Linked DNA regions of Oryctolagus cuniculus. The protein of the gene in region 1 purifies or fractionates together with the protein of each later gene. This does not show direct contact. Links are inferred from orthologs where the notes say so. Each region holds a gene or a part of one and is shown in the gene's direction. Other genes may lie near its edges.

Region 1 (7,409 bases):
TTTCTCAGTGGTAGAACAGCAAGTCAACAATCACAGAAAGAGGAAGAGAGTGATTTGTTGATTATTTTCAGGCACAGGACACATAGTAAGCACTCGGGACCATCAACTGAAAGATCATTAAGTTAGGTTTAGGAAGAGAGTGCTGTTGGTTACCATCCCAGAATTGAATGCTCCACAGGTGGACTCAAACATAGTCTGAGAAGGACTCCAGGCACACGTGGTACCCTAGACTTCAGAGCCTTAAATAGATTTGTCCAGAAGATAAGAATGATAATAAACGCGTAAATGTACAGAATACAGAGGCTGTTACTTAAAGCAGTTCAATCACAGCGTCACTGCCTGGGTCCAGATGAGGATGGAAAGAGTTGGGGCTGTCTCCAGAAGTGTGTGTGGATGTGTTTCTGAATGCATGGTCAGGTACACATGTTTCCATTTAGTTGCTTGTTTTCACTGGTCAGTTTTTAAGATTCTGGCTTTAGTTGTATGGAATAAAAGAAACTGGTATAGTCTCTTCTTGGGTATAATAGGTACTTTTCTAACTTTGAAATGATACATTCTGATTTTAAAAAGGAATTTGACACAAAAATTCACTTTAAAGTAGGTACCAGAAAATCAATTTATGTTAGTCTCCTAGTTAATGTTAAGTATTCATATACCCGTAATATTTTAGTACTTTTTCTTAAGAAAAAATTTAAAATATGTGAATAAACTAATGATTCCCTTGGAAAATATTTTATATTTAGACATTTTAAAACCTTTTGATTAATATAATAGAGGAGATTCCAGTATTTCATAGGTATAGTTCTAAGAAGGTAACCATACTTAATTTAAAAAAAAATTAAAAATAAATTTAAAAAAGAATTTCAGGTGTAAAAATGATAGGTGTTATAAGTATACACACTAATATGGAATTCTGTATTAATAGAAAAATCATAAATCCAAAGTAACCTTTTGTGGTGTAAATTTTAGCAATCACATGATGTTTATCTCTTTGGTAATCTCATTTATTTGAACAATCACCCTTAAATTTTATTTTTATAACACTTTTTACAGAATTCACAGAAAATATTTTTATTAATGCCCCAAAAAATCTTTCTAAAAACTATTAAGATCCTGTTTTTTCTGCTTTAAGTATGCTATCATTTTTATATCATCTGATGTATGTTTGACTAGATACGTAATGTTCATTCTTCATAGAAGTCTTGAGCAAAAATGATGTTAAAATACCATTAATCCTGATATGTTTAAGCGTGTAGAAATGTTAAGGGTGTCAGTTTAGAGCATCATCTTCACCTTGTCTCTTTTGCATATTCTGCAAAGGAAATGGAGAGGTCTTTGGTAGATTAATGCATTATTAAAATAGAATATTTATTCTCTAATCAGTGCCTTTCTTTAAGCTTATATTTGTAATTTTATAATTTAATTTACATTATAATGTATTTCAAATTATACATGAGGAACATGTATTGTCTGCATATTTATTTATTGCAAAGTCTCTGGTGGAGGTGATTTCTGTATTACATTCTCAAGGTTTCTCTTAAGTATCACAAAACTCTTCCTTGAAGCCAAACAATAAAAATAAGCTGGTTTATTCCACATGTGTTGTGAACTCCATAGGCAGTTATTTCACAGGATCCTGAGTAGTCCATTTTTCTTGGGCATGAGGAATTCCTCCAATATCATCTGGTAATGTCATTTTGCAATAGCAACAAAAGGAGGAATAAAATCAAGGTTTGAATTTTTTTTTATACATTCTACAGTTTACTCCATGATTCTTGGAAATAGGTGTTCCAAAATCAGGCATGCATTTGCCCACCAACATCAATCCATCCATTCCTACTTTTGTGCTGTCAAGGATGCAAATACTCAAAAACTGTTTATGTTTGGTGGCTTTTGTTCCTAATTTTCAGGAGAGAATCAGTAGAAACATCAATTATGTGGAGATTATAAAAGTACTAGAAACTGTAAAAGTTCCTACTGTTACAGTTTCCTGTTCTGTGGTTCCAGATTCCATTGATGATATGTTGGCTGGAATCCCCTCTGTGTTTTTTGCCTTGATGCTTTTGTTCCTAAAGGTAGAAAGTTTCATACTTTCCTTCTCCATTCTTCTGAAATTAGCGCTACCTACCTTCTTGGCCCCCAGACTATTAGGATGTCTGTTTATTGATGGCCTCTATAGTTTTGGCTCAGATTTCTCCCTCATGTTTCACACTCTTGCATATTTTAGCTTCCTATGCATCTTGGCATAGTTAATCAGTTTTTACTTAGATCTCAGTAGGTCAAGGGGCCAAAGAAATGAAACAATAGTTTATTGACAAGGAGTAGGGGAAGCCTCATGATGAATGAACATACAGAAACATCTTAAGTGTTATTAGTAACTAGTGAATTATAAATTACATCATAAGGAGATGTGACTGCCTGTGAAATTAGGAGGTAATTTGAAAAATAGATGACGTTTTCAGTGCTTCTTTTTGTATACTATAGACATAAATTTTTTAAAGCAGTTTGTAAAAATTTATCTTTTGACATAAAATATTTACTTAAAAATCCCAATAGTAGAATAAATTATGAGAAATAGAAGAAAGACGTTTATTGAAGGATTTTTATCTGTTTCTAATTTTTTGTTTATTAGGAAATAATATTAGAAAAATAGTAATTATGACATACATGAGAGTGTTAGCTATATAATGATACCATATTGTAAAGAATCTTTAATCTTGAGAAACAGTTTTATAAGAACACTTACATAGAGTTGGGACTGGAAAAATTAGATGGGCAGGTCTTAGTAGGTTGGCCATTTCATTGTGAGAGGACAACATGAACAAAGACACAAAAGTGGAATTGAGTTTATTGTATGATTAATGATTAAAATGATGATTAATCTGGCTGGGGAGTGGGGGTTCATTTGGAGAGACAGGGAGAGTGCTATTCACCTGTTACTAGGTACTGGGGACATAAGGATGACTAAAAGATGACAAAAATGAAAATTCAGGAGAAGTCAGATATGAGACAGTCTCCTGAAAAATCTGGCAAAACTTAATGATATGATGAAAGAGAAAGTTAAAAAGAATATATGGAAGTTTTGAGTTTGTATGAAGCCAGTAACAGTCATAGAAAAACTTGAGAAGGAAACCTTCATGAGGCAAGATGATGGGTTTTGTTCTACAGTTGGTTTAGGATGCACACACAGAAAAGACGTTTGTCTTGTGTTCTGTCTTTTTAAGGTTAACTTATTCTATAAAACTGGATGTTTTTCAGATCTCTCTGACCAGCTATTCTAGTATTTAAACTGACCATTGTGAAGTTGCAAAAACCAACCAACACACCAAATAAACACACAAACAAACAAACAAAAAAACAGGGTTTTGGGAGGGCTTGTTAAAAATAACAATAAATTCAGTAACTAGGCCTACGTGGTTTTATTTATAAAAATTTCCTATGTCCTGTAAGCAGTATGTATATTTGATTCTATTCCCTTTTTTTGATGCCTTTGTTTCACACTGTAACATATTGGGGATGGGGCCATAACCTTAAGGAACCAATAGATCTCATTCTAAACTGTATTATAGGGAAGTTTCTTTCTTTGGCAGATGGGAGATTCTTTGGTCAGAGAAACCTACGAAGGTGAATGCTTCCCAGGCTCGCCAGTTTAAACCTTGTATTAAGCAGATAAATTTTCCCACAAATCTTATCCGACTGGAAGTAAATAGTTCTCTTCTGGATTATTACACTGAATTAGATGCAGTTGTGCTACATGGTCTGAAGGACAAGCCAATGCTGTCTCTCAAGACTTCACTTATTGACATGAATGATCTAGAGGATGAAGACTATCCTGAAGAGGCTGGTTGTGGAATGGACAATCTTAACAAAAAATTTAGCAGTGTTGCCCTCAAGGAAGGGCCAAATAATGGATATTTTGATAAACTACCATATGAGGTAAGCCAAAAATATACAGTAGTAATATTGGATATATCAGTGTAGACTTTTCAGTGTTTTGATATTTATGTTTATTTTGCTAGATATCAGAGGAATAAAGGCATTGATAAGGTTTACATAATTTGATATGTTGTATATTTTGATTTTGGAAAAAGTATACAAAATTATGTTAAGTAATTTCATTGCTTTTGTTTTAGATTAACTTTAGTGATTCTAGATAAATAAATTATATCACTGTTTAACAGGAACCAAATACATAAGCTAATAATAAATTTCAGCCTACTTTAATTCATAATTATACTATGTAAGTATGGGCAATATGTGATTATAAAGTCATGTCAAATATAATTTGCTGTTAATTATAAAAGAGTAAAAAGATTGTGAGATGAATGCTTATTTCATTTAGAAGTCCACAGTTTCTCTGAGTGTTATTTCTTCTTCTTTTCAAATTGTATTCTGTGTTCTTCAACCTACAATTTTAGGCCTAGGTAGGTTCAGAGAGACCACCAGGAAATACTTTTTTATGTGTCTAGACTGATCCTGTATTCAGGATGTGTGGTTGTACAGGAACACCCCTGCAGTATATTTCACATTCTTGGCTATCAGGCATCAAGTGCCAGTAGCATTCTAAAGCCATGTGACACCAAAACCTCTCCTCACTTATTTCCAGATATCACGTGGGGTGGGAGCAGTGCTAGACGTTTCTGTCTCCTGCTGAAAACTACTGTGCGCAGTTAAAAATAGCACCAGCTTTCTTTTTAAGAAAAATTTATACTCCTTTCTTTTCTTTCTGTTTTTTTTTTTTTGTTTGTTTGTTTGTTTGTTTGATTTATTTATTTGACAGAGTTACAGACAGTGAAAGAGACAGAGAAAGGTCTTCCTTCCATTGGTTCACTCCCCAACTGGCCGCTACGGCCGGCGCCAGGTGCTTCTTCCTGGTCTCCCATGTGGTTGCAGGGGTCCAAGCACTTGGGCCATCTTCCACTGCTATCCCAGGCCAAACCAGAAAGCTGGACTAGAAGAGGAGCAGCCGGGACTAGAACTGGCACCCATATGGGATGCCGATGCTGCAGACAGAGGATTAACCCACTGTGCCATGGCACTGGCCCCGATACACCTTTCTTTAGAGATTTATTTATTTATTTTGAAAGTCAGAGTTACAGAGAGAGAGGGAGAGACAGAGACAGAGAGAGAGGGATCTTCCATCTACTGGTTCACTCAGATGCCACCATGGCTGGGACTGGGCCAGGCTGAAGCCAGGAGCTTCTTCTAGGTCTCCCACATGGGAGCAAGGGTCCAAGCATTTGGGCCATCCTCCACTGTTTTCCCCAAGCCATTAGCAGGGAGCTGGATTGGAAGTGGAGCAGTTGAGACAGAAGCAGGTTCCCATATGAGAAGATGGCGGTTTTACCTGTTATGCCACAGTGTCGACCCCAATGCTCAACTTTAAACAAACTTAAATTACCCTCCTTTCAAACTGGTGGTTATTTCCAGTTTCATTGTAATAACTAATTTAACGTACAGGGAACAATATGACAGCCTCTTAAATGCCTGATAGTGACTATAATACCTGGTCATCATTTTACAGCTAAAATGCTGTGGTTTATCCTGTGAATAGCTAAAGTTGCCACATAAAGATGAATTGAAGGAATATATGGTAGGTGGTTTACTCAGAAAGGCATGGGACCAGGACCCCATCCAGGCCTTCTGAATCAGTTCCTGAGGTATGAAGAGGAAGCATCATTGACAGAATGGACAAATCGTCTGTTCTTAATGGGATGAGGGATAAGTTGGTGAGAGACGAGCAGGAGACAGTGACACAGTGGCTCCTTGGTGCTTTAAGGAGGGTATGTTCTCACAGTCGTGAGTGGGGGCATTGCCTTAGGACAGTGGGTCACTTCTTGGATTCATACCCCTTCTCACAACTAGAAATTTAACTTCAGTGAACATATTTTAAACAATTTATAGAATTTTAACCATACCTATTAAAAATGCTTGACACATAAAATTCAAGTGAATAACTGAGGGGAATCTAGGCAAAGGAAGGAGAGTGTACAGAGGCAAAAGTAAATGAAACCGTGTCTGCCTCTAGTATTTCAGTATGGCTGAAATAATAAAGTTATCTTTTAATCCCATTTCACCGCAAAAGTTAAAAAAAATCAACTTACTCTTTTATCCATTCAAGGTAGAGTATAAAATTATTACAGGTATGATGTCTTATAACTTACCTTCTAAAGGATAAAAAGATAAGGGTAGTGCTAGAGGATGCCACAGAGTGGAAAAGTTTCTGTTTGTGATGAAGGTTGGGAGAGATTTCAGCATGTTTATATGCTGAAGGGGAGAAACCTGTCGAGACAAAAACCTTCAAGTACATGCAAGCAGTTTAGTCAGTACAACAAAGTCCTGTAGAAGAAACCAGGAGTTGGGATCAGTTCTGGAGGGACGTTCGTTGGCCTTGGTGAAAGAAGTGTACCATGTAAGGAGTAATACTGTGAAACATTGAATGATCTCACAGTGAGTAAAAAGAGAAATACTTAAAAAGTGTTATTTTGAAAGTAACACATTATTTCAAGGGGAAATTAAACCATATTTAAATATGTCCAATGATACCGTGTTCTCATAGTTTAAATAATTGTATTGAATAGAATTAATTTTGAGGATAGATAGATCAGGGTATCTCTTTGTACTAACTGCTTAGAAATTATACTGAAATAACTGAATATTAAACAAAATTTTAATTCTGAAAATAGTTGGAGAAGTGCCCCAACTATTGCCAAGTTCAGATGATTCATGGATTCTTGCTAAGATTTAAGAAAAAAAAACATAGTAGTATCTAAACTTTCATAGAATAAAAAAGTTTTTAATTTCTTGTGAAACTAGTGTTATGCTGATTAAGATAGTATGCCAAAAACTACAGAACAGTTTTATATATGTAAACAATTTAAATATAGCATATTGGATGATTTTAAAAGGGTATTATAAGAAATCATTCAGCATTTCTGGAATTCAAGGGTGTTTGCATATCAGAGAATGTACACAATAATAACGGTACAGGCCAACAAGAAGAAAATCCTGTGATCATCTCAGCAGGTGGCAAAACTGCTTAACAAGTGATAGCTATATAGATATCAAATTGTATTCATTTCTTTTAAAAAGGAAATACTTTATTAATCTATCTACTAATTGGCTGTTTTCAGATATAATAGCCAAGTTATCATATTTAATTATCAAACACTAGGAGTACATTGTTGGATATGATAATCACAAGTCATATATATTGTTAAGCACCTGAAACATGGCTAGTCTGAACTGAGATATGCTGAAAAAGCAAAATATACACAAGATTTCAAAGACATTTCAAAAAATGTAAAATATCTCAGTAATTTTATACTGATTACATGTTGAAATGATCACTTTTAATTGCATATGCTAAAAACTAACTCCATCTGTTTCTTTTTGCTTTTAGAAATGTA
Region 2 (8,059 bases), on another chromosome or scaffold:
GACTTTCAAATAAATAAAGAAAAATCTTAAGAAAGAAAGAAAGAGAAGGAAAGAAAGAAAGAAGGAAAGAAAAAAAGGAAGGAAAGAAGGAAAGAAGGAAAGAAGGAAAGAAAGAAAGAAAGAAAGAAAGAAAGAAAGAAAGAAAGAAAGAAAGAAAGAAAGAAAAAGAAAAAGAAAGAAAGAAAGAAAGAAAGAAAGAAAGAAAGAAAGAAAGAAAGAAAAGAGAGAGAGAGAGAAAGAAATGGAGAGAGAGAGTTTGGGCTGGTGCTGTGGCGTAGTAGGCTAAGCTTCTTCCTGTGGTGCTGGCATCCTATATGGGCACTGGTTCTTGTTCCCTCTGCTTCTTTTCAGAACCACCTCTCTGCTTATGGCCTGGGAGAGCAACAGTGCAAGATGGCCCAAATGCTTGGGCCCCTGCACCCACGTGGGAGACCTGGAAGAAGATCCTAGCTCTTGGCTTCAGATCGGCCCAGCTCCAGCCATTACAGACATTTGGGGAGTGAACCAGCAGATGGAAGATCTTTCCCTCTGTTTCTCCCTCTCTCTGCCTATAACTCTACTACTCAAATAAATAAATTCCTTTTTTAAAAAAAAAGGAATCTCATGGGACTGGCGTCATGGAGTAGCAGGTTAAATTTCCGCCTGAAATACCACCATCCTGGCTGCTCCACTTCTGATCCAGCTGCCTGCTAAATGGCCTGAGAAAAGCAGAAAAAGATGGCCCAAGTGCTTGGGCCCCTGCATTAACATGGGAGGCCAGGATGAAGTGCCTGTCTCCTGGCTTTGGATCGGCGCAGCTCCAGCCGTTGTGGCCATCTCGGGAATAAACCAGTGGATGGAAGACCACTCTCTGTCTCTCTGTCTCTGCTTCTCTGTAACTCTGCCTTTCAAACAAATAAATAAATCTTAAAAAAAAAGTAATTTCAATTTCATCTACTTAAGCCTGGAGAAAAGAAAATATTGTAATTAGTTTTTATAAAACTAGCAAAGGATTATAACAAAGCTCAAAAAATATTATGAGATGTTTAAATCTTTTGAAGAAGTGCCTGAAAGGAAAACAGAACACAAAGATATATGACAGTCTGCTCTGGGAAGACACTTTTGCAAATATGTCCATGGTCCCCTCAATTACTATATTATTTATTTATTTATTTGAGAGGCAGAGTTACAAACAATGAGAGGGAGAGACAGAGAGAAAGGTCTTCCGTCTGCTGGTTCACTCCCCAAATGGCCGCAACGGTGGAGCTGCACTGATCTGAAGCCAGGAGCCAGGAGCTTCCTCCAGGTCTCCCATATGGGTGTAGGGGTCCACAGACTCGAGCCATCTTCTACTGCCTTCCCAAACCACAGCAGAGAGCTGGAGTGGAAGAGGAGCAGCCGGAACTGGAACCAGTGCCCATATGGGATGCTGGCACCGCAGGTGGAGGATTAACCTACTGCGCCATAGCACCGGCCCCCTGACAAAAATCTTAAAAGAATTTGCAAGAGGGAACCAACATTGTGGGACAGTGTTTGAGTCCCAGCTGCTCTGGCTTCCAAAACAGCTCCCTGCTAATATGCTTGAGAAAGGAGCTGAGGATGGCCCAACTATAAAATACTTGGCTCTTGTCTTAGGCCTGGTGCAGACCTGGCCATTGAGGCCATCTGGGGAGTGAACTAACAGAAGAAAGATTTCTCTCTCTCTCTCTCTCACTCGCTCACTCTATCTCCCCTTTTCCCCCTTCTCTGTCACTCCGCCTTCCAAAGAAACAAATAAATCTATATAAAAATTTATTTGCAATAGGATTTGACCTACTAATCCTTTAAAAAATGTTTAAGTACAAAGTTTTTCAAATAAATGAAAACACTGGAAGAAGAGTTTAATATTCATGTATTACCTAGCTTCAGTAATCGCCAACACATGGTCAATATTTGGCAAGCCCATTTTTTCAGTTCATCTGAAGGGTAATCAGTCATTTTCAAAAGACAAATGAAGAGAGGCTCTCTAGTAACCAGCCCTGAGACAGACTTGTTTCTGTGGGCATTTAGACCATGCAATTTCAAATCAGGGTTGAAGGGAGGACTTAAAAATCAGTAAATATTGTTGGGTCAATTGGTTACAAAATTGGGAAGAATTGAAGTTAAATAACATGTGAAAATTGAATTTTAGGTGGACTGGGGCCTAAATATAAAATTAAGGCTATAAGGGAATTAGAAAAAGTTACAAGGGCAGGAGGAGTGGATTCCTAATCTTGGTTTGAGCCAGGGGGACATGACATGAAAACAATACAGGAGCAATTAAAACATCTGCAGAGCGAAGCAACACGAAAGACAAGTCACAAATGCCACCGCAGGCAACAGGTCAGCCAGCCCAAGGACACCAGGGGACCGGGCCTCTGGAGACAAGAGAGCGAAGTAGACGGGCTGTTTAGGAACAAAGGAATTTAGTGCCACCCACATACCAGACACGTGGCTTCCCACGTGGTGGCCCGGAAACAGCCGCGTGGGGAATGCGGCGATTATTTTCTTCACTGTGTTTTCCTGAAGGGATTTTTTTTAACCATGATGGAGTGTTACGAATCCTGTAATAACCAAAAGATAGCCCTATATTGTGCCCTGCTTGGAATGCTGATGTCCCATCAGGCTTTCGGCTTCCTGTGCCGCAGTGAGTCCTTACAGGTATTTTAAAAATTAAATGCTCGGAGACTGACAGAAACAACGAGCGCGGTGTAGGTGTGGGAGGAGTTCTGCTCGCGAAGACACCTGCATTGCACTGCTCGCCCATCCTCTCTCCCAGTGCCATCTGCATCACTCACTCCAAATTACAAGAAGGAATTCAACCCTCCCGCGCGTCAGCGTGACTCCCGCGCCCGCACGTCCGGGCCCGCACAGGAACGCCCCTGCCCCGCCCAGCCCCGCCGCTTGTTGTGTTGTCATCACGTGGCTTGGGCGGACCCTGACGTCAGCTACAGGGGAGGGACTGCGCAGGCGCAGAAAAGGGGGCGGGGGACTCAGCTTGTTGTGTTGCTGCCCGAGAACCGGAGACGGTCCTGGTGCGGCCGCAGCTCTTCCAGACGCCCGACCATGTCGTCTCATTTAGTCGAGCCGCCGCCGCCCCTGCACAACAACAACAACAACTGCGAGGACGGTGACCAGCATCTGCCCCCACCGACCGGCCTCAACAGTGAGTGCTCGCCGACGGGTTCGCTGAAGGGGATGGGGGAGGAGGAGCTGCTCCGGCCGCCGCCACCAGCGCCGCGCGGGGGGCGGGAGGAGAAGGCAGCCCATTGGTCAAGCCCGAGGATGTTCTGCTGACTGACAGCTCCCGTCACCTGTCAGGAGGAGGCGCTTCAGTCTTCCTCTTGGCTAGTCTCCGCTCCCTCCTGGGGTCTTGGACTGGGTGCCAATTGTGGTCGCTCTCCGGGAGGGGAGGAGGGTGGGGAGAAAAGGGGATCGCGCGCCAGACTGCCCCTGGGGCAGGGCAGATCCCACCTGTAGGCCCCTGAAGCAGAGCCAATCGGGGCAGGGAGGGGGCGGGCCCTGGGGAGCGGGGCGGAAAGGTGGGCGGAGCGGGCCGCGAAGGGGACGTGGGCAGGGATGGGGACGTGCGGCGGGGACGCCGGGGGATGGACGCGCGGCGCGGGAGGGCAGGGGAGGGGCGGCCGAGGACGTGTCGGGGAGCAGGTGTGCCGTGGGGCCCCTGCCGAGCGTGCCCCGCGGGCCGGGCTTGCCCGGGCGGGGCCCGGCAGCCCTCGGTTGCGATCCTTTGTTGCCACATGCCGGTCGGGGAAACCCATTTGGCAATTTCGTGGTGACTCGAATCACGTGTGGGGGTGCACAGCCTGTGCCTTTCATTTCTTTTTCTTTGCTGCTGCTTTGTGAGATTTGCAAAGTTGCTCAAGTCTTTTTCAACGATGCAGTAGCGTGCACAGTAAACCTGTTTTAAGATGAGCCCCACTTCCAGCCCACGCGGAGTCTGGGGCGATGGGTATTCACACATGGGATTTAAAACACCCATCACAGGCACACGGGTGGTTGACAGTGGCAGGGTGGCGCTAGGACGGACCCCGGGTACTTCTGACAGCCTGGGGCTCAGACATCTTGCCAGTGGTGGTGAGAGCTCCGAGGTTCTTGCCTAACCTTTTTCTGTAATTTGCTCTTAGGAAAGAGGTGGTGGAGGCAGCCAGCATATGGCCAGACCGAGTCGCTTAACAACCATTTGGATGCTTAAAGGTCACACCGTCTCTTTCCTAAGAGGAAAGCGCTCCCAGCGTGGCCAGAACGTTATTTTAGGGAAGAGAGTCCCTGTCCCCTGAAGAGTGGGCATGAAAGCTGGGTATTTTTAGATGCTTTCTCTGCCTGTGGCAGGTGGTCGGTCGTTGATGGACTAATTCTCAGTGTTGACTGTTTTTAAACTTGTAAGTGTGTATGGAATGTTCTAGAATGTAAGATCTCTGCTGTTTCCCCTGCAGTAAGTTAGGAGTAGTGGAAGTCTTTAGATCTTACTTGTTGGTCACGTTTTGGCATACATGCTTGGAAGCGTGGATCTGGGGATAGAAACGGGGTTTAGAGTGAGGGGGCTCGTTCAGGTTGACAGCTGGCCGGACCTAGAGCTGAGGACCCCCCTTCAGCTCCTCGGGTGCCCCATCCGGGACCTTCCCTGGGGTCCCAAGTCCCTGATCACGGGTGCTTCTTACCCTCAGCATGTTTTTCTGTCGAATGTACATCGGTGGCTGCCTATCTTTATAGTATTCTGTTTCTTAATTGTGCTGTTTTCATATGCGTAAGAAATGTGTTTAGTATGTGTACGTGATTTCCCAGAGTCCAAAGGAGTTTTAATGTTCCTGTGACCCTTTACCATAAAGCAAGAGGGAGGGTTGAGCTGTATATGATTGTTTATCTTGGTGTTTGATGTCTGGCCAATCAGTTCCTGCTACGTTTACATTAGCTGTTAGAGAAGTGGAAGAACACCCCGCCTGCAGGTGATACCAGATGTTGCTTTGGGGAATCCACTAGGTAGAAAGTGTTTTATTTGGGGGTAATGTGAGCTTTTTAAGTTACTGCAAAACTTTCAGATAATACCATACTAAATTACTCCTCTCTTGCTTCTTCCTCTGATCCTTTTTTTCTCCCTCGTTACACAACACTGGACTGAACAAAACAAGAAGCCTTATTGATTCCTTCAAGTGATTTTTGGGCATCTGGCAAAACAACTTATTCAGACATTTAATACTATGAATTGCTGATAAGTTGGAGTACTCTGTTGGGTAAAGCACGACTGTGAAAACAGGAGATGAAACTCATCGTGATTATCTCTGGTTAGGATTTTATCTTTGGTCTAGGGGTCAAAGCAGAGTTTAATGGCAATTTATTGAAATACTTAAATAGTAAAGCCTTTCTCTGAAAGGTTTTTTTTTTTTTAATTTATCATTCATTCTAGGGCAACTGTGTTTTCATAACAAATTAGGGCACAAATATCCAAACTCTTTCTCAAGATAAAAAAATATTTTCTGGTTCTTAGTTTTATGCTTTAAAAAAAACTATCATGTTCCTTAAGAATATCTGAATAAAAGTTTGTCATAAAACTCAGTATAAGGAAAATCATAGAAGCAGTGTAGTTCTTGTGGTTTAATGTGGGAATTACAACTTTTTTAAAAAAATTAATTTATTTGAAATGGAGAGAGACAGACATACCCATCTTCTGGTTATTCCTCAAATGCCTGCAACAGCAGGGCTGGGCCAGGCAAGGGCCAGGAGCTAGAACTCGATCTGGATCTCCCACACGGGGCAGGCACCCAGCACTTGAGCCATCACCTGCTGCCTGCAGCGTGCGCATTAGCAGGACGCTGGAATCAGGAGTGGAGCCAGGACGCTAACCCAGGCACTGTGATACGGGATGCGGGCAGTGTCTCACTGCTGTGCCAAATGCCTGCCCCACAGACTTTGTCTTTCTTTTTGAACTCCTTCAACCACAGTGTATTTGCTTCTCCAGTATGCCAAGAGGGCTGTTGAGGCTGTGGCACATGGACCGTCCCTGCCTCATAATAGTGTTTGGAATAAGTAAGAAACCACATGTACAAAAAAGACTAACTTGTACCCAAATGCCGGTGACGATTGTTCTGGTCTGGATTCCAGCATCAGGTACTTGAGACAGACAATCGAAAGGCTTTGACTGAAGAATGTAAACGTAATGCCATCCCCTGGTTAGGGTGAGTGACATTTAGGGCCTCAAAAATGGGACAAAAATGTGAAAAGTGTTTTTTTTTTCTCATTCTCCTTGACTCTCAGCTTCCCTACTCCCATTATTGAAAGATAATTGAATTGGCAATTATAAAACTGTAAAGAGCGTACAGTGTACAGTAATGAATGTAACCCACAGTTATTGGACCAGCCTTTACCTGATCAAAGACTTAAACTAGAAACTATCCCATGTAATTGAGTGTATGTATAAACTGGCTTAAAGGAACACCTTGCCGTTTGTAAATAGTCTTTTAAAATAATAGAGAAGGCTTCCAGCTTTGGGTTCTTAAGCTGATTCTTAGGAAGAGAATTCACTTTGAGGTTGCTTTTTACTTGTATTGCTTGGACAGCACAGTCCTCATATCTTGCCTTGTTTCTTTTCCAAGTTAAAAGGGACTCTGTGAGGATTGCTAGTGGGAAGCTTACAGAATTCGGAGGCTGTAAATCATGAATGAACTAGATGAAGGGAAAAGGCATGTGTAGTTCATCTATTGAGAAAGACACATTTGTTTTTCAGTGTTTCACTCTAAAGATAAAGACAATATTGCCAAATTATCCTCCAGAATGCCCTCTGAAGCCCTGACTATAATGACAGAATATTAGAAAGAAGAATTCGGGATAACAGTTTAAGTATAGTTTATAAATGATGAGATGCAATGCAGTTGTTCAAAAGAATAAATGTTAGTATGTATTGACGTTGAAAGTTATCTGTGGCCAGCACCCATTCAAGTCCTGTTTGCTCCACTTCTGATCCAGCTCCCTGCTAAGGCACCTGGGAAAGCAGTGGACAGTGGCCCAACCACTTGGGCCCCTGCGCTCACATGAGAGACTGGGATGGAGTTCCCGGTGTTTTTTAAAAATATTTGTTTATTTTTTTGAAAGGCAAAGTGGAGCCCACATTGTGGCATAGCAGATTAAGCTACCGCCTGCAATGCCAGCATCCCATAAGCATACTGGTTCAACTCCCAGATATTCCACTTCTGATCCAGCTCCCTGCTAATCTCCTGGGAAAGCAGTAGAAGATGGTCCAAGTACTTGGGCCCCTGCATTCCCATGGGAGATCTGAGGAAGCTCCTGGCTCCTGGCTTTGGCCTGGTGCAGCCCCAGCTGCTGTAGCCATCTGGGGAGTGAACCTGCAGATGGAAAATCTCTCTCTGTATCTCTCATTCTTTCAAATAAAAATAAATAAATCTGTAAATATATGTGTATATATATATAGTATATGATATACATATTATATCATTATATATATAATACAAATATATATATAAGAAAGAAAGCAGACAGATTTTTCATCTGCTGGTTCACTCCCCAAATGGCCACCACCAACCAGGGCCAGGCTGAAGCCAGGAGCCAGGAACCTTCTCTTGAGTCTTCCACGTGGGTGGCAGGGGCTTTCCCAGGCACATGATCAGAGAGCTGGATTGGAAGCGGAGCATTTGGGACTCAAACAGATGTTCCAGTATGGATGCCAGGGTCACAGATGGTGGCTTAACCCACTGGGCCACAATGCCAGTGAGTGCCAGAAAATATTTTTAAAATTTTGTGGGCATTTGAGGGGTAAAACAGCAGATGGAAGGTCTCTCTCCATCTGTGTCTCTGTCTCTGTAGGATTCTCTGCTTTTCAAAAAATGAAAATAAATGAATAAATTTTAAAAGAAGTTTGTGAATCCCAGAAACGGTGGTAGAAAGGACGCTTATTGTATACTGTGTTCTCCCCCCTCCTCCTACCCTCTTGAAATATTTTGCAGAGCTGTAGATGGAGAGATACTTTCGGTGTACTTATACTTCAGAGGCACTCTAAATATTCAGTCATCTCGAGGGGCAGTGTTGTGGCGCA
Region 3 (7,409 bases), on another chromosome or scaffold:
TTCTAAAAACACAACTTGTATGCCTCTGCGTTTGCTGTTTAAGGTCTCTTCTACCATCATTTCACAGACCATCATGTTTTGCCTGGGACTCTGTTTCTGCTGAAGTCCTGAGGCCTGATGGTCCTGGGCCAGTCAGGTCCCTTACCAGAGCTAATGGCCTCAGGAATGACCCTCACCCGCAACAAACTATGAACTGTCCCACATTCCGATATTTCCTCAGTCAACAAAGGTGTTTTCAGAGTGTGATCGCCACGCCTGCAACATCAGCGTCACCCGGGCACCTGCGGCCTCGTCCTGCGCTGACTTCATTAGATGCTTGAGACGGGGCCGTCCGAGTTTTGACAGCCTTCTGGGTGATTGTCATGGCACACCCAGTTCTGAGAAACACTGTTCCAGGGCCGTTAAGGGAGGACAGAGCGAGAGTAGCAAAAGCGTTCTGTGAAGTAAGCACACTGCCTCCTTGAACCATGCTGTTAAAGTCTCAAATTCTGAATAATAAGCTTATCTCTATATTCAAGAATGTTGCCATAGTGGCAATATTTTATTGCTTAACTTTTGAAAATTTGATTAAAAGAAACAGTGCTTCTCAGAATCATGACTTATTTTTATTGTTTATATAGCTCAATGTCTGTGTCAGAGCTGATACTGCTTCATACTGGTACTTTGTTATGTATTACAGAGTTTTGGGTTTGTTTTTGTTTTTTGTTTTTAAGATTTATTTTACTTACTTGAAAAGCATAGTTAACAGAGGGAGAGAGATAGACAGAGCTCTTCCATCTGCTGGTTCATTCCCCAAATGGCCGTAACAGCCGGGACCGGGCCCGGTCGAAGCCAGGAGCCTAGAACTCCATCCTGGTCTCCTACAAGGGTGGCAGGGGCCCAAGTGCTTGGCCCAACTTCCACTGCTTTCCCAGCACAGCCAAAGTGCTGGCCCCTTAAAGATTTTTTTTTTTAATTTATTTATTTTCATTTTATTTTAAAGGCAGGACAGAGAGAACAAGATCTTCCATCCACTGGTTCACTCCCCAAAGGCCCACAGCAGGCAGGGCTAGACCAAACCAAAGCCAAGATCTGGAAGTCAGTCCAAAGGGACAACAGGGGCCTGAGTACTTTGCCATCACCTGCTGCCTCTCAGAGTATAAGTTAGCAGGACGCTGGGGGAGAAGCAGAGAAGCCAGGGTTGGCCCTGGCACCCTTTGGGATATAGGCATCCCAGGACGCTGGGGGAGAAGCAGAGAAGCTGAGGTTAACTCTGGCACCCTGTGGGATATAGGCGTCCCAGGACACTGGGGGAGAAGCCAGGATGGACCTTGGCACCCTGTGGGGTAAAGGTGTCCGAAGTGGGAACTACTATACCAGACCCCTGTTCCAGCATTACTAAGTTTTTAAACTTTCTGGGGTTAGCTTTTTTGAGGTTTTTTACTCGTTTTTTTCTTTATTTCTTTTTAAACATTTTTTCAGTTGGCAGAAGTTGTGTATGTTTATCATGTACAACATGTTGCTTTGAAATTGTATCCATGGTGGAATGACGAATAGGCTTTTCTTATCCACGTACAAATCCTTTCTTAAGGCTCAGTGCTCTCAGTGTAGGACCTGCATGGTTTTGACTGATTTATTCTCGGAAACCTGCTTGCCCTAAAACACCCTGTGTGTCCTACAACACCACCATAGACTTTTTTATATAGAAAACTTTTATTTAATAAATATAAATTTTTTTAAAGATTTATTTATTTTACTTGAAAGAGTTAGAGGAGAGGCAGAAAGAGAGAAGTCATCCATCTGTTGGTTCACTCCCCAATTGGCTTGGCTGCCACGGCCAGAACTGCACTGATCCGAATCCAGGAGCCAGGAGCTTCCTCCGGGTCTCCCACGTGGGTACAGGGGCCCAAGCACTTGGGCCATCTTCTGCTTTCCTAGGCCACAACAGAGAACTAGATAGGAAGTGAAGCAGCCGGGTCTTGAACCTGCACCCATATGGGATGCCAGCACTTCAGGCCAGGGCGTTAACCCACTGCACCACAGTGCTGGCCCTTAATAAATATAAATGTCAAAAGTACAACTTCTGGATTATAGCAGTTCTTGCCCCCATAACCACCCTCCCACCCACAAACCATCCCATCTCCCACGCCCTTTCCTATCTCATTCTTCATTAAGATTCATTTTTAAATTATCTTTATATACAGATCGACTTAATATTTACTAAGATTTCAACAGTTTGCACAGATACACAAGTATAAAGTACTATTTGAAGATTAGTTTTACCATTAATGCTCATAGTACAACACATTAAGGACAGAGATCCTACATGGGGAGTAAGTACACCGTGACTCCCATTGTTGATTTAGCAATTGTCACTCTTATTTATGACGCCAGTAATCACCCAAGACTCTTGTCTGGAGCTGCCAAAGCTATGGAAGCCTCTTGAGTTCACAAACTCTGACCTTATTTAGACAAAGCCATAGTCAAAGTGGAAGTTCTCTCTTCCCTTCAGAGAAAGATACCTCCTTTGATGGCCTCTTCTTTCCACCAAGGTCTCCCTCAGATCTTTCATTGAGGTCATTTTTTGCCACAGTGTCTTGGCTTTCCATGTCTGAGATTTCTCTTGAACCACAGACTCTTAAAAATCCCTAGTTTTTAACTTCTCCTGTACTATGTTTAACAATAGTTACAGAAAGTACAGAGGAAGTAGAGGGTACTTTCTAGAGTATGTCTGTCATGGCTCACCTTTCTTTAATTTACCTTCAAAACCCACGCATTCTACCTTGTTATGTTAGGCTCGAGTGTATATTATGTGTTATTAATATTTCCTTTAATATTGCTTTCATGTTATTTCTTACATTTTTAGCAGAATTGCTACTTTGAAGTTCTTTATATAGATTAAATTTGCATATAACCTTTTCATAAATACAATATGAATATAAACCCAGTTGCACCTCTAGTTAAATTTGGGAAAAGTAAGGCTGATTGTGTTTATATTTAAATGAACTTCTCAGCATTTTGTATTCTTGTGTTAAAAAATCTGAATTTCATTTTAACTGGATAATCTCCCAACAAATAATACCCATGTATGAATTCTAATATTCCTGTTTCAGAGAATGTTTTATATTATTAGTTAATTTGCTAACATGACTCCTGTGGGGAGTTTAGAGAAATGGATAAAATAAACCATATCATCTTTGAATGTTTTCATTAAAAAGAAGTCACATATGCATAAACACATGCGAGGAGAAGTAGGAATCTGAATAATCTATAGTAAACCACATCCATTTGAAGTATGTAAAATTTAAAGTTATTTATATTTGTGTGCATCTGTATACCATCACCACAAAAAAGAACTTGAAAGTTGATAGATTTTTATAGTCTATAATTTATTTTGCAGACTATTAGGAAACCATGATGATAAATGGAATTATCTTTATTCTTTTAGGTCAAATATTAAAATTATTTGATCCAGGGAACACATTCATAGATTGAATCCACTGTTGTCTTTTAAGCCAGTATGAATTGTCTCTCTAAATGCAAAATTTCCTTTAAACTTAAAATGTGAGCTGATACCTTTTGAAGTTCTAGCTCGTGCAGTAGTCTGATTTCATCATGGTAATAAATTTTTGCCAGGTTATAATCTGGACATTTTGATGACATCTTGTATTCAGGTTATTTCCTGTGACTTCAGATGTCTTGGGAAAACAGTGAGTATAGGCATTTTACACTTTTTTTTTTCTTTTTTTCTGTCCAGCTTGCATTGGTGACTTGGAGAGATTGTCTGTTCAGGCCATTGAATAAACAGGTACCCACTCTGAAGAACTTTGTGTGTTCTCTTTTATGATCCTTTGCCAGCTTCCTGCCTCTGTCCTTTAGAACATCTTGAGAGTATCCCTTATCTCACATTGTTAATGGCTCTGAATGTTTAAGGGACATGGGATATTAAATATTAAATACTGTAATCTCTAATATATTTCATGTTTCCTTTCTAAAGGTAACAAATGCTGTCTTAAAACTGATTGAAAAGGAAAGAAATGGTGAAACCATCAATACAAGACTGATTAGTGGAGTTGTACAGTCTTATGGTAAATAATTTCAGTTATTTGGAGTTTTCATGTCAAATTACAGTCACAACAGTGCCATACCAGATTCATTTAAAAAACATTTAATATCATCAGGACTGTTAGCATTTACAGAGGTACTCATAATTCCTATTTGGTGATATTTTACTTGATTTTACCCTCTTAAAAGTTGTTTGATCCTTATGCCTTTGAGAAACTTTAATGAAATAGACATTTGAGTTTTCTGATCTCATAATTAGCTACTGGCTAATGATAGAATGCTATTGAACTGAATGATAAATAGAAATCTATCAGCTTGAAACATTGAGGAACTGATAAGTTAACACAGTATTTAAAACCTTGGATAGCATGGTATTTCTTTGAAAGTTTAAATTAGAGGTTTTTATTGCTTTTGGAAATACGAAGTTTTCCAAATGTACTTCATGATAATTCTAAAGGATACCTGGTATGAGTCAATTATTTTTGTGTGTCCTGGCTTTTTTCTTCTATTGAGCGATGCACTTTATTATTAGTGAATAATAATTACCTTATGCTCTGCCATTCACATTTACCTTTATGCCTAACTTAATCTTTTATCTAAGTATATTCTGTGAAATACAACAAAAAATAGGGTAATTGAAATGCAGCTCATATTTATTTCTAGTGGAATTGGGGCTGAATGAAGATGATGCATTTGCAAAGGGCCCTACGTTAACAGTGTATAAAGAATCCTTTGAATCTCAATTTTTGGCTGACACAGAAAGATTTTATACCAGAGAGAGTACTGAATTCTTGCAACAGAACCCAGTTACCGAATATATGAAAAAGGTAAGCTTAAATATAGTACTTAAAGTAGACAAGCTAAAAATGTGCCATTCAGATGAGTTACTGTTTAAAATAGCATATGCACTTTTCTTCACACAAGTCATTTGTTGGGCATTGTTGTCCTAGCATGTCTTCAGCAGGTGTAAATACTTCTTCTAATTCTCCAGGGAGCTTTTTATAAATTTGTTTGCTGACCATGCCTGAAAGTTCTGGCTGTTTTACAGATATATAAAAGCTGTGTGACTTTTGTTTTGAACTATTTTTCCTAGAACGTAAATATCTTAGGGTTGTCTCGGTCTTACCATGTTAGTGAGAACATTTTCAGATACAAATATTCTCAGATTTGTGAGTAAGTTTTTGCTTTCTTCTAACATGTCTCCCTGAGAATCTATAACAGTTTCAGGTTGAAGGTAGAGGAGTAGTCTCTGACACAGCAGGATCCTGTTTCTCATGTGGGACAAGACCTAAGATTAAACCAGGGTTTCCAGTCCTTTTCTGTACCGAGTGATATGACCAAGTTCTAACAGATTTGTTCTGTATTCACTTTCTTAGAAATACAGGAATCCTGGACTTGGGCTCTGAGGAAAGACCTGTGTCAGGAGTCAGCAAACGTTTTTTGCCAGAGACTGGATAGTAATGCTTGAGGCATTGTGGGCCATGTGGTCTCTCTTGGTGCTGCAGGCAAAAGCAGACGTAACATCCTGTGAATAAATGGGTGTGGTTGGGTTCCAGTACCACTTCATCTGTATTTAAGAAGAAAAACAAAGGTGGTAGGCTGGATCTGGCCTACGTGGAAGTTTGCTGATCCTTGAACTAGATGAGTTAGATTTCTAGGGAGTCTGGGTCTTGTTGGTCTGGTGGCTGCTTTGATCTTATTCCCTGTGCACCTGGTGAGGGACTGCAGACTCGCCTCCTCTTGTATGATGTGAGAAAATAAGCGATAAAGTCCTGTCCAGTTTGTGGTGTTCTGAATGTGTTGTCTCATAGGAGATAGCAGTTATAATTGGGGCTTAGAATAACAACAAAAACTGATAGCTCAGAATCTAAGAAAAAATGGATTGGTTCAGAAGTATTATACTTGAAATATTAATAGTTCCTTGTGTATGTGTATTTTGGGGTTAAATGGACTTTGTATGCTGACCTGGAACCCAGCCAGTTCATTCAGCATTTCAAACAACTGCCTGACAGATGAGCTTTTGAAACGTAATCTGTTTTGAATCTTAGCATTGCCTGTTATTTCATTTTATAGTTTGACAGTGAATATATCTCTTGCTGAAGTCTCCTGTGTGGTGACTCCTTTAAACCATATGTTTTTAAGGTGGAACCTGTTATCAGAGTACATGTATGCAGTGGGGGAGCAAAACTGTCCTACTTCAGGCTTCTGAGTAGATTATGATGATTATTAAAGTCAGCTCTCTGTACTTAGGACGGTGGTAGCTCTCTGGTGCAAGGAGACCAGCTTTATAGGACAGAGCTTTGTAGGCATCCCAAAGCAGAGAAATCTGCTTTTAAAATCAGCCCTAAAGCTAAAGGCAACTTGAGAAACTAGCGTTTCCATCCAATGGCCTGAATATTTTCAGTCCAGCATGAGCCCCGCCTCAGGTAGCAATATGCTTCCTGCTTCCTGGTTCCCATAAAGGTATTTTTTTCTAGAGAAGTTAAAAGTTCAGTTCATATCTGCTTGGATCGTACCAAACATGCTTTCCATCACATTCTCAGAGTCTGTAATGCAAAGAATCTATAAACATGAAATGAGAATTTAGCCATGTGAGCAGTTCTATTCTGTAACCTTTCGTCTCAAACTGGGACGTGAATCTTAATTTTAAATCCGTACTCTGCCATTTACTTAGGGGACGACCTGAACCTTTCTCTTCCGTAATTTCTTCATTTATAAAAAGGGAATAATAATAGGTAATGAAGATTAAATAAGCTTTAATTTTTAAATAATTTACAATAATTTTAAAGTGTATGTGTGTGTGAGAGAGAGAGAGAAAGACAAAGTGCTAGAATAGTGTGTGGCAAGTAGCAAGCCCGGTGTGTTTGGTGTTACATACACACATCTCACAGAACCCCTAGTATGTGCCTGAGAGGGTACAAAGCCACGTGGCAGAAGAGAACAAATGTTACTCAGTAACTTGGGAAGAAATGTTTATATGAAAACATACATTTTATCAGGAATTACAGTAAAACATATCATGAACAATATTGAGATATCAAGTATTGATTTTTTTTAAGACATATTCTTGAGCAGCCAGTTGGGGCTAGATTCACAGATTCCCTGGTGGCCTCAGTATGCTCTTCTCTGTAGGCAGGAGAATTTTAGTGGGAATATCTGAGACTCCTTGGCTTGTCTTTCTAAGGGTGGCTTTGATCAGCAAACAAACCTAAGCCATGGCAGTATTTTCATGGTGTCTTACTATCTCACATGGTTGAGATTAATCTGAACTATTAAAACTTTGCATGATTTCAGGTTTGTAACATTTTTTTAAGATTTTTAAATTTTATTTAAAAAAATTTTTCTATATTTGACAAGTAGAGTTA
Region 4 (7,409 bases), on another chromosome or scaffold:
GGCTGGTGACCGTGTCTGCTGCAAACCCACCCTGCATTCCCAGGCCTGCCTTTGGTGCTTTTTCGGATGGTTAGGTGCGCTCTGTGCACAGGGCCAGGCCTGCCTCCCCCAGAAGAGGTGCTGTGGCATCGGGAACTTGCCCTGCTTCCCTGTGCTGCGTGGTGCTGCGTGGTGCTGCGTGGTGCTGCGTGGGTGTAGCACAGGCACAGCTGGGTGATGGTTGCTGTACTTAATGGTAGTGCCTGCAGAATTAACTTACTCATTTTCTAGTATGACTTTTCTCCCGATCTTCTGTAGTCTGCCTCCGTCTTCTCCCTACTGCAGCCCGTACCTCTGTGTGCCGCCTGCATTACCTGTGAGCAGATCTTTGCTATACAGTCAAGCAGACGTGTGACACGGCCGCCGTCTGTCTGTGTGCTGGATTGACGAGGGGGCACCGCAGTGCAGGGGAGCGAGGCTGTCCCGTCTCAGGTCGGGTGGGGGTGGCACGCAGCTGTCCCGTCTCAGGTCGGGTGGGGGCGGCGCGCAGCTGTCCTGTCTCAGGTCGGGTGGGGGTGGCACGCAGCTGTCCCGTCTCAGGTCGCGTGGGGGTGGCACGCAGCTTCCCGTCTCAGGTCGGGTGGGGGTGGCACGCAGCTGTCCCGTCTCAGGTCGCGTGGGGGTGGCACGCAGCTGTCCCGTCTCAGGTCGGGTGGGGGCGGCACGCAGCTGTCCCGTCTCAGGTCGGGTGGCACGCAGCTGTCCCGTCTCAGGTCGGGTGGGGGTGGCACGCAGCTGTCCCGTCTCAGGTTGGGTTGGGGTGGCACGCAGCTGTCCCGTCTCAGGTCGGGTGGGGGCGGCACGCAGCTGTCCCGTCTCAGGTCGCGTGGGGGTGGCACGCAGGTGGGTGCATGGGGGGAGCAGCCACAGGGGAGCATCACGTGCGAAAGGCTCTGTGCAGGGAGCACACAGCCGTGGTGCAGGCCGAGGTCCAGGTGACCCACAGTCATGAGAAGCGAAACCCTCATTAGGAGTGAGACGCCAGTGGGCACGGCGTGTGGCGCAGAGGGCAAAGCCGCCGCTGCAGTGCCGGCCTCCCATAGGGCACCAGTTTGTGCCCTGGCTGCTGCACGTCCAGTCCAGCTCTCTGCTGTGGCCTGGGAAAGCAGCAGAAGATGGTCCAAGTGCTTGGGCCCTGCACCCACGTGGGAGACCTGGAAGAAGCTCCTGGCTTCAGATTGCTGAAGCTCTGGCCGCTGAGGCCAGTTGGGAGCTCTCTGTTTCTCTCTCTCTCTCTCTCTCTGCCTCTCTTCTCTCTCTGTGTAACTCTTTCAAATAAATCAATAAATCTTTAAAAAAAAAAAAAGTGAAACGGCAGGTAAAGCGCAGGGGCTCGGCGTGAGGCGCCGCGGCCCCGTCGGCTGTGTGGGAAAGTGGGACCATTTGCTCATAACCCGAGCACACGTTACTTTTCAGCCCAGTAATCCTCCTGCTCAGTAGGTGCCCAGCCGAAGCCCGTGCAGGCGTGCACCCTGGACAGGTACCGAACCTCTGTCTGGTAACGGGCTGCCTGTGCACGGGGAGTGAGGGCGAGGCCAGCCCAGGCTGCGTGGGGGCGTGTGTGCTACGGACATGGGTCACTGTGTGTCGCCGGGGAACCTCTTGGGAATGGAAGGCCTGCAGGGGTACACGTTCCAGTCCCAGGCTGGCTGCATTCCAGCCACGCCCCCTTTCCCTCCTCGTCCCGCAGGCTCCTGGGTAGAACTGCACTTCAGCAACAATGGCAACGGGAACGGCGTCCCAGCCTCCGTTTCTATTTATAATGGTGACCTGGAGAAAATCCTGCTGGACGCCCAGCATGAGTCCGGACGGAGTAGCTCCAAGAGCTCTCACTGTGACAGGTAGGCGTGGACAGGCCGCGCGTGGCAGGACTGCTGCCCTGGGGAGATGGTCCATGGATCAACGGGATGCCTGGATTCCAGGATAGGGGGCTGCACTCGGGAACAGCTCTGATGTTGGGACTGCGCCCCCTGGTGGGGAAGCTGACCTGGGGCTGTCTGTGGGGGGACCAAATAAAGCAAAGGAGCCCCCCGGAAACAGCGGAGCCCCGCCCTTCTCGCAGCTGCAGTATGGTCGGTCTCTAGGAACACACGCCTCTGCGGGTCCTGGTCAGGGCGGGGCCGAGTCACTGGTCTAAAGCTGGGTGCTCCCCAGAGCCGGGAGGCGGACCACGGAGCTGGCGGCGGCAGTCAGCCCCCCGCCTCTTCTGGGGGACACCCGGTGGCTGACTTGCTCCGCTGTCAAGACGGAGGAGTTCGGTCCTTGCGAACGGGCCCTGCCTCTCTGGTAGCATGTTGACGTGGCCGTCTGTTCTTCCATTCTGTTCACACCTTCCCAAGCCCGCCGCGCTCGCAGACACCGCAGGACACTACCAGAGCTTCTGAGACGGACACGCACAGCACCGGGGAGAAAACCAGCTCCCAGGTAGGCTCGGGAAGGGGCCGCAGCCTCGGAGGCGCTGAGCGGGACAGGCCTGGCTCTGAGGGGCTCTGGGTGGGGATGTCCCCAGTAGAGGGACATCACTGAGCTGACCACAGAAGGCGTGGAGGGAGGAACGTGGAGCGTGGGTGCCCTGCCACCATCCAGGGACTCCCGGCAAGCGAGACAGCGTTCCCTTGTGCCTGCGGCCCGGGGGAGGTCGAAGGGTGGCAGGGAGCCCCCTGCTGGGCGCGTTCCCTCCGCTGTTGGTTGGCCGATTGGGCCTCACTGGCTGTCAGTTACCTCCTGCTGTGGCTCTGGGCGTCCTTCTCACTCCAGACACCGGGTCCTTCCTGGCACCCAGCGCGGGGCTTAGCACTGGCAACTAAGCGGCCGGAGCCCAGGGTGAGACCGCTTCACCAGCCTGAACTCAGCCTGGTGCACCAGGCGCTCGGTGCTGTTGTGGGCGGGGCTGCAGACCCTCTGAAGGCTGAGTGTGAGCCCCAGGTCTTTCTGGGGTTTCGGGCCACGAGCGCAGGGCTGTTCAGTGTACCCAGGAGCGCAGTGCTGTGTTCAGTGTACCCAGGAGTGCTGTGTTCAGTGTACCCAGGAGCGCAGGGCTGTGTTCAGTGTACCCAGGAGTGCTGTGTTCAGTGTACCGAGGAGCGCAGTGCTGTGTTCAGTGTACCGAGGAGCGCAGTGCTGTGTTCAGTGTACCCAGGAGTGCTGTGTTCAGTGTACCCAGGAGCGCAGTGCTGTGTTCAGTGTACCCAGGAGTGCAGTGCTGTGTTCAGTGTACCCAGGAGTGCTGTGTTCAGTGTACCCAGGAGCGCAGTGCTGTGTTCAGTGTACCCAGGAGTGCAGTGCTGCGCTTGTCAGATGCAGTGTGTGTGTTCTGAAATGGCTTGTCTGTAGTGACCCCCAGAGCTGGGGGGGAGGCGGGGCTAGCAGGCAGTTGGTACCCTCGGCACTGGCCGGGGCGGCGCCCCTGGCACGGGCAGAGACTGAGTGGCAGGAGCCGGTTGTGAGGCCCGAGTGCGGCTCGGTGGACCCACGCTGTGGGTGTTCGCATTGTTTATTTCCCCTGCTTTTAAAAAGGAATTCATGATTAGATGGGGAATTTTGAAAATGCAAAAAGGAAAACACCTACATTCCTGCATTTAAAATCCCTTTTAATTAGTATTTTGTACAGATACCTGATTTTTTTAAATGCAGCTTAAACCGCGGTGGTCTGTAGACCTCTTTGCTTTCCGCGTCCCACGGGAGGACCTTCCCCTGCCTGTGCCTCCACGCGCGTCTCTGGCGGGCTCGCGTCACGGGCCTCCCTGGAAGCGCGGCTGCCGCTCCTGGCGCCACCGCCATCCCGCTGAGTCCAGGCTGGGCGCTCTGGGCAGGACCTCGCGGCGGGTTCTGTCCGCTCGTCCCCCGGGCCGCCAGCGCCTGGCTCCCTCCGAGCTTGCCGGCCTGCCGCTGGGTGCAGTGGACGCTGTCGCTTGTGGATGTGGCGATTGATCTGCTTTTCCCGTTTTCTCAGTCCGAGGAGGATTTCATTGAGAGAAGGAAAGAAGTGGAAAGCATCTTAAAGAAAAACTCAGACTGGATATGGGACTGGTCAAGCCGGCCGGAGAACGTCCCCCCGAAGTGAGTCTGGGCTCGGCTGGCGGGCGCCGGGTGCGCAGGCGCGGGCTGACCTCCCTGTCCCTGCAGGCAGCTCCTCTTCAGGCACCCGAGGCGCGCGGCCGCGCTGAGCATGCGCAACACGAGCGTCATGAGGAAGGGGGGCGTCTTCTCGGCGGACGTGCTCAAGGTCTTCCTGCCGTCGCTGCTGCTCTCTCACCTGCTGGCCATCGGGCTGGGGTAGGTGCGGCCCGCGGCCCGCGCGGCCTCAGGCCTCGGGGCCAGCTCCCGGCTGTGCCGGCGGCGTGTCCACACAGCCTGTGTCCCCACCCCGCACACCTGGCCGTGCCTCCTGTCCCGCGAGGACGTGGCGTCCAAGCAGGGGGTCCCGTCTGCCTTGCGTGCATCACGCGTGTGGTGCAGCCAGCCTCCCTCGCGCACAGCACGTGGCGCCTGCCTGCGCTCAGCTGGCTCCCCCTGCTGGACGGCTCGGCCACTTCATCCTGGCTGTAGCCTGTGACCCCGACAGGCCGGCGCGGCTCCAGTCCCTGCTGGTCTCCCTGGGAGGGGCAGGCGATGGCCCAAGTCCTTGGACCCCTGCCGCCCACACGGGAGGCTGGACTGAGCTCCACACTCCAGATTGGGCTGTTGCAGGCATCCGGGCAGCGAACCAGTGGGTGCAAGATGTGTGTGTGTCTGTCTGTCAAAGAAAAGATGGATATAATTCTGACTTCAGCTCGAGCAGCGCGGCAGAGCGGGGGGTTGACGGGACCCCCAGCTGCGCTCTCCCTCGGGCTCGCCCAGTCTGGTGTGCGCACGTGTTCCGTCTGGGCTGGCCCGAGCGCGCGTGCCTGGGGCAGGGTGCAGAGCCCCTCCCTTCCCCCACCCCGTCCCCGTGGCCAGCGAGGCCGTCTGTTTCCCGTCCTGCGGGACCTTGTGGGGCTGTCCTTCCCCGCCCGTGGAGATGACTTCTGGCCAGGGCCATGCACCCCTCCTCCTGGCTCCCCTGGCAGGCACCCCTCTGCTTCCTGGGCCGCAGCTGCTGTCCGCTGGGTCGGGGTCGCCCGCCCGCCCCTCCCCACGCTGCTCCACGGCTCTGGCAGAGCTTTCCGGAGTCACCAGGCTGCGCCCGTGTCACCAGGGAGTCCGAGTGTCATTTCCGAGCTTTCCATACAGCTGGGGGACGGTCCCCGGAGGCAGGTTCCATTACTGGACAGGCCGTATCGGGACGCAGCTCTGTCCACGGAGCCCGGCGGTGCCAGCAGCTTCCTGTTGACGCGGGGACAGAGCCCGCGCGCGCTCCTGCAGGCCCGGGCGGCCGGGCTTCTGTGCTTGCCCTTCCCTGAAGAGCCCTCCTCGTGCCTCCCCGGGTGGGCACCCACCCGCTCCCCCACGCCCTGGGCGCCTCTCCCCAGGACTGAGGGCAGAAGCTGGTAGGTGGCTCAGAGTGAGGCCGGCCCGCCCTGCTGGGCGACTTGGCCTGTACCCGGCCGCGGCAGGCACTAAGCAGGGCGCCCGCCTGGCGCAGGGTAACCGCGCTGCCCTGTGCCCAGCTGGCGCTCGGTGGGGGTTCACAGGAGAGGCGGCCTCACGTCCTGTGTAACAGATCTAGGCGGTGCCGCCACGGGCGGGGGACTAACCGCCTTCTTTCCCGCTCAGCATCTACATCGGCCGGCGTCTGACCACCTCCACCAGCACCTTCTGAGGACGTGGACGCGCACGTGCACGTGGACGTGGCCCTCGCTCACCCGGGGGTCGCTGCGGCTGCGCGGTTCCCTGAGTGCAAGAACGGACGCGGGCCGTGCGGGAACCGATCAGTGCGCATGTCAGGCTGATGAGTACCGCCTGCACCGGTCTGGTTGCCAGTTTTCTTAGGATATTAGGTAGAAATATCTGGTAGGTAGTTCTAATACTCAGCCATGATGTCCTATAGCATGAGAAGTGGAGCTGACACGTGAATCCAGTCAACACGACGTGCAGACGAGGGAGTGATGTGGATGGGAAATCAGCACAGCAAGGGGTCTGTCTAGAACAGAATCGTGGCCTTACATTCACACCGTTGTAGGAAATGTGCTGCATTTAATGGATAAGGTCGTCTACTGAAGACACTTGATTAAGCTCATTGTTGCTAAGTCATGCTTAGACACGGGGTGGGGGCAGGTGCAGCCCCACCCCGTGCTCCGTCGGCCAGGCGCTGCTCCCTGGGCGCTGGGGTCGGCCGGGTGCCCTCGCTTCTCCTCCTGCACTGCTTTGTGCTTGACCCCGGTGTCCTTGTAAAGCAAATCTGTCTACTTTTAAGAGACTGGAAATAGAAAAAAATAAATGTTTGCCAAACCTTCAGAGGGTACTGTGTTCATGTGCAGTTTCACATCGACATCAGGAAGCCAGGCCCGTCCTCCCTTCTCCGTCCTGCATTAGTGGGGCTCAGGGGGCAGGGGGCCGGGGGCCGGGGCTAGAGCAGCCGGATGGGCGGGCTCTCTGGAAATACAGACGAGTGACACGACCCACCTGTAGGAATCTGCTCTGAGTATCAGACTCTAAGAATTTCAAAGTGACAGGTTTGGGGAGGAGTATTTTGGTGCTGGGGCTGGGCCAGCGCTGTGGTGTAGCGGGTGGGCTGCTGCCTGCAATGCCGAAATCCCATACAGGCACCGGTTCGAGTCCTGGCTGCTCTGCTTCCGATCCAGCTCTCTGCTGTGACCTGGGAAAGCAGTGGAAGATGCCCAAGTCTCCTGGCTTTAGACCGGCCCAGCTCCGGCCATTGTGGCCAATGGGGAGTGAACCAGCGGATGGAAGATTCTCTCTGGCTCTTTGTAACTGCCTTTCAAGTAAATTTTTTTTTTTTTTTTTGACAGAGTGGACAGTGAGAGAGAAAGGTCTTCCTTTGCTGTTGGTTCACCCTCTGATGGCCGCCGCGGTTGGCATGCTGCGGCCGGCACACCGCGCTGATCCGAAGCCAGGAGCCAGGTGCTTCTCCTGGTCTCCCATGGGTGCAGGGCCCAAGCACCTGGGCCATCCTCCACTGCACTCCCTGGCCACAGCAGAGAGCTGGCCTGGAAGAGGGGCAACCGGGATAGAATCTGGCATCCCGACTGGGACTAGAACCCGGTGTGCCGGCGCCGCAGGCGGAAGATTAGCCTAGTGAGCCGCGGCGCCGGCCTCAAGTAAATCTGGTGCCAAAACTGAAATCCATGTGTGCAAGTTTTCAAAAGGTTAGAAGTGAACTCCGCCTGCGTGGGTTAAAGCAGTTCCTTGCCCTGGTTTTGTGCTGAGGCAGCGCCCTCACGGATGGACCCGTGAGCTGCAGCTCATCGCAGGGCTCCCAGCGTCTGCAG

The links.
Region 2: the proteins of FBXL4 (region 1) and BNIP3L purify together in Homo sapiens (affinity purification with western blotting; 4 studies listed by BioGRID, with this or other methods). This does not show direct contact. The link is inferred for Oryctolagus cuniculus from reciprocal best matches to the Homo sapiens genes FBXL4 and BNIP3L.
Region 3: the proteins of FBXL4 (region 1) and CUL1 purify together in Homo sapiens (affinity purification with western blotting; 4 studies listed by BioGRID, with this or other methods). This does not show direct contact. The link is inferred for Oryctolagus cuniculus from reciprocal best matches to the Homo sapiens genes FBXL4 and CUL1.
Region 4: the proteins of FBXL4 (region 1) and BNIP3 purify together in Homo sapiens (affinity purification with western blotting; 4 studies listed by BioGRID, with this or other methods). This does not show direct contact. The link is inferred for Oryctolagus cuniculus from reciprocal best matches to the Homo sapiens genes FBXL4 and BNIP3.

Annotation. Positions count from the first base shown.
Region 1 is NC_091436.1:72,837,634-72,845,042, forward strand, and holds part of FBXL4 (F-box/LRR-repeat protein 4), read left to right. Parts: intron 1-3,590; coding exon 3,591-3,936; intron 3,937-7,409. UniProt on the Homo sapiens protein: Substrate-recognition component of the mitochondria-localized SCF-FBXL4 ubiquitin E3 ligase complex that plays a role in the restriction of mitophagy by controlling the degradation of BNIP3 and NIX mitophagy receptors.
Region 2 is NC_091433.1:47,855,229-47,863,287, reverse strand, and holds the start of BNIP3L (BCL2/adenovirus E1B 19 kDa protein-interacting protein 3-like), read left to right. Parts: upstream 1-2,907; 5' UTR 2,908-3,063; coding exon 3,064-3,163; intron 3,164-8,059.
Region 3 is NC_091434.1:174,806,979-174,814,387, reverse strand, and holds part of CUL1 (cullin-1), read left to right. Parts: intron 1-3,736; coding exon 3,737-3,787; intron 3,788-3,976; coding exon 3,977-4,067; intron 4,068-4,707; coding exon 4,708-4,871; intron 4,872-7,409. UniProt on the Homo sapiens protein: Core component of multiple cullin-RING-based SCF (SKP1-CUL1-F-box protein) E3 ubiquitin-protein ligase complexes, which mediate the ubiquitination of proteins involved in cell cycle progression, signal transduction and transcription.
Region 4 is NC_091446.1:1,009,286-1,016,694, forward strand, and holds the end of BNIP3 (BCL2/adenovirus E1B 19 kDa protein-interacting protein 3), read left to right. Parts: intron 1-1,729; coding exon 1,730-1,880; intron 1,881-2,378; coding exon 2,379-2,463; intron 2,464-3,991; coding exon 3,992-4,098; intron 4,099-4,164; coding exon 4,165-4,314; intron 4,315-5,733; coding exon 5,734-5,779; 3' UTR 5,780-6,414; downstream 6,415-7,409. UniProt on the Homo sapiens protein: Apoptosis-inducing protein that can overcome BCL2 suppression. May play a role in repartitioning calcium between the two major intracellular calcium stores in association with BCL2.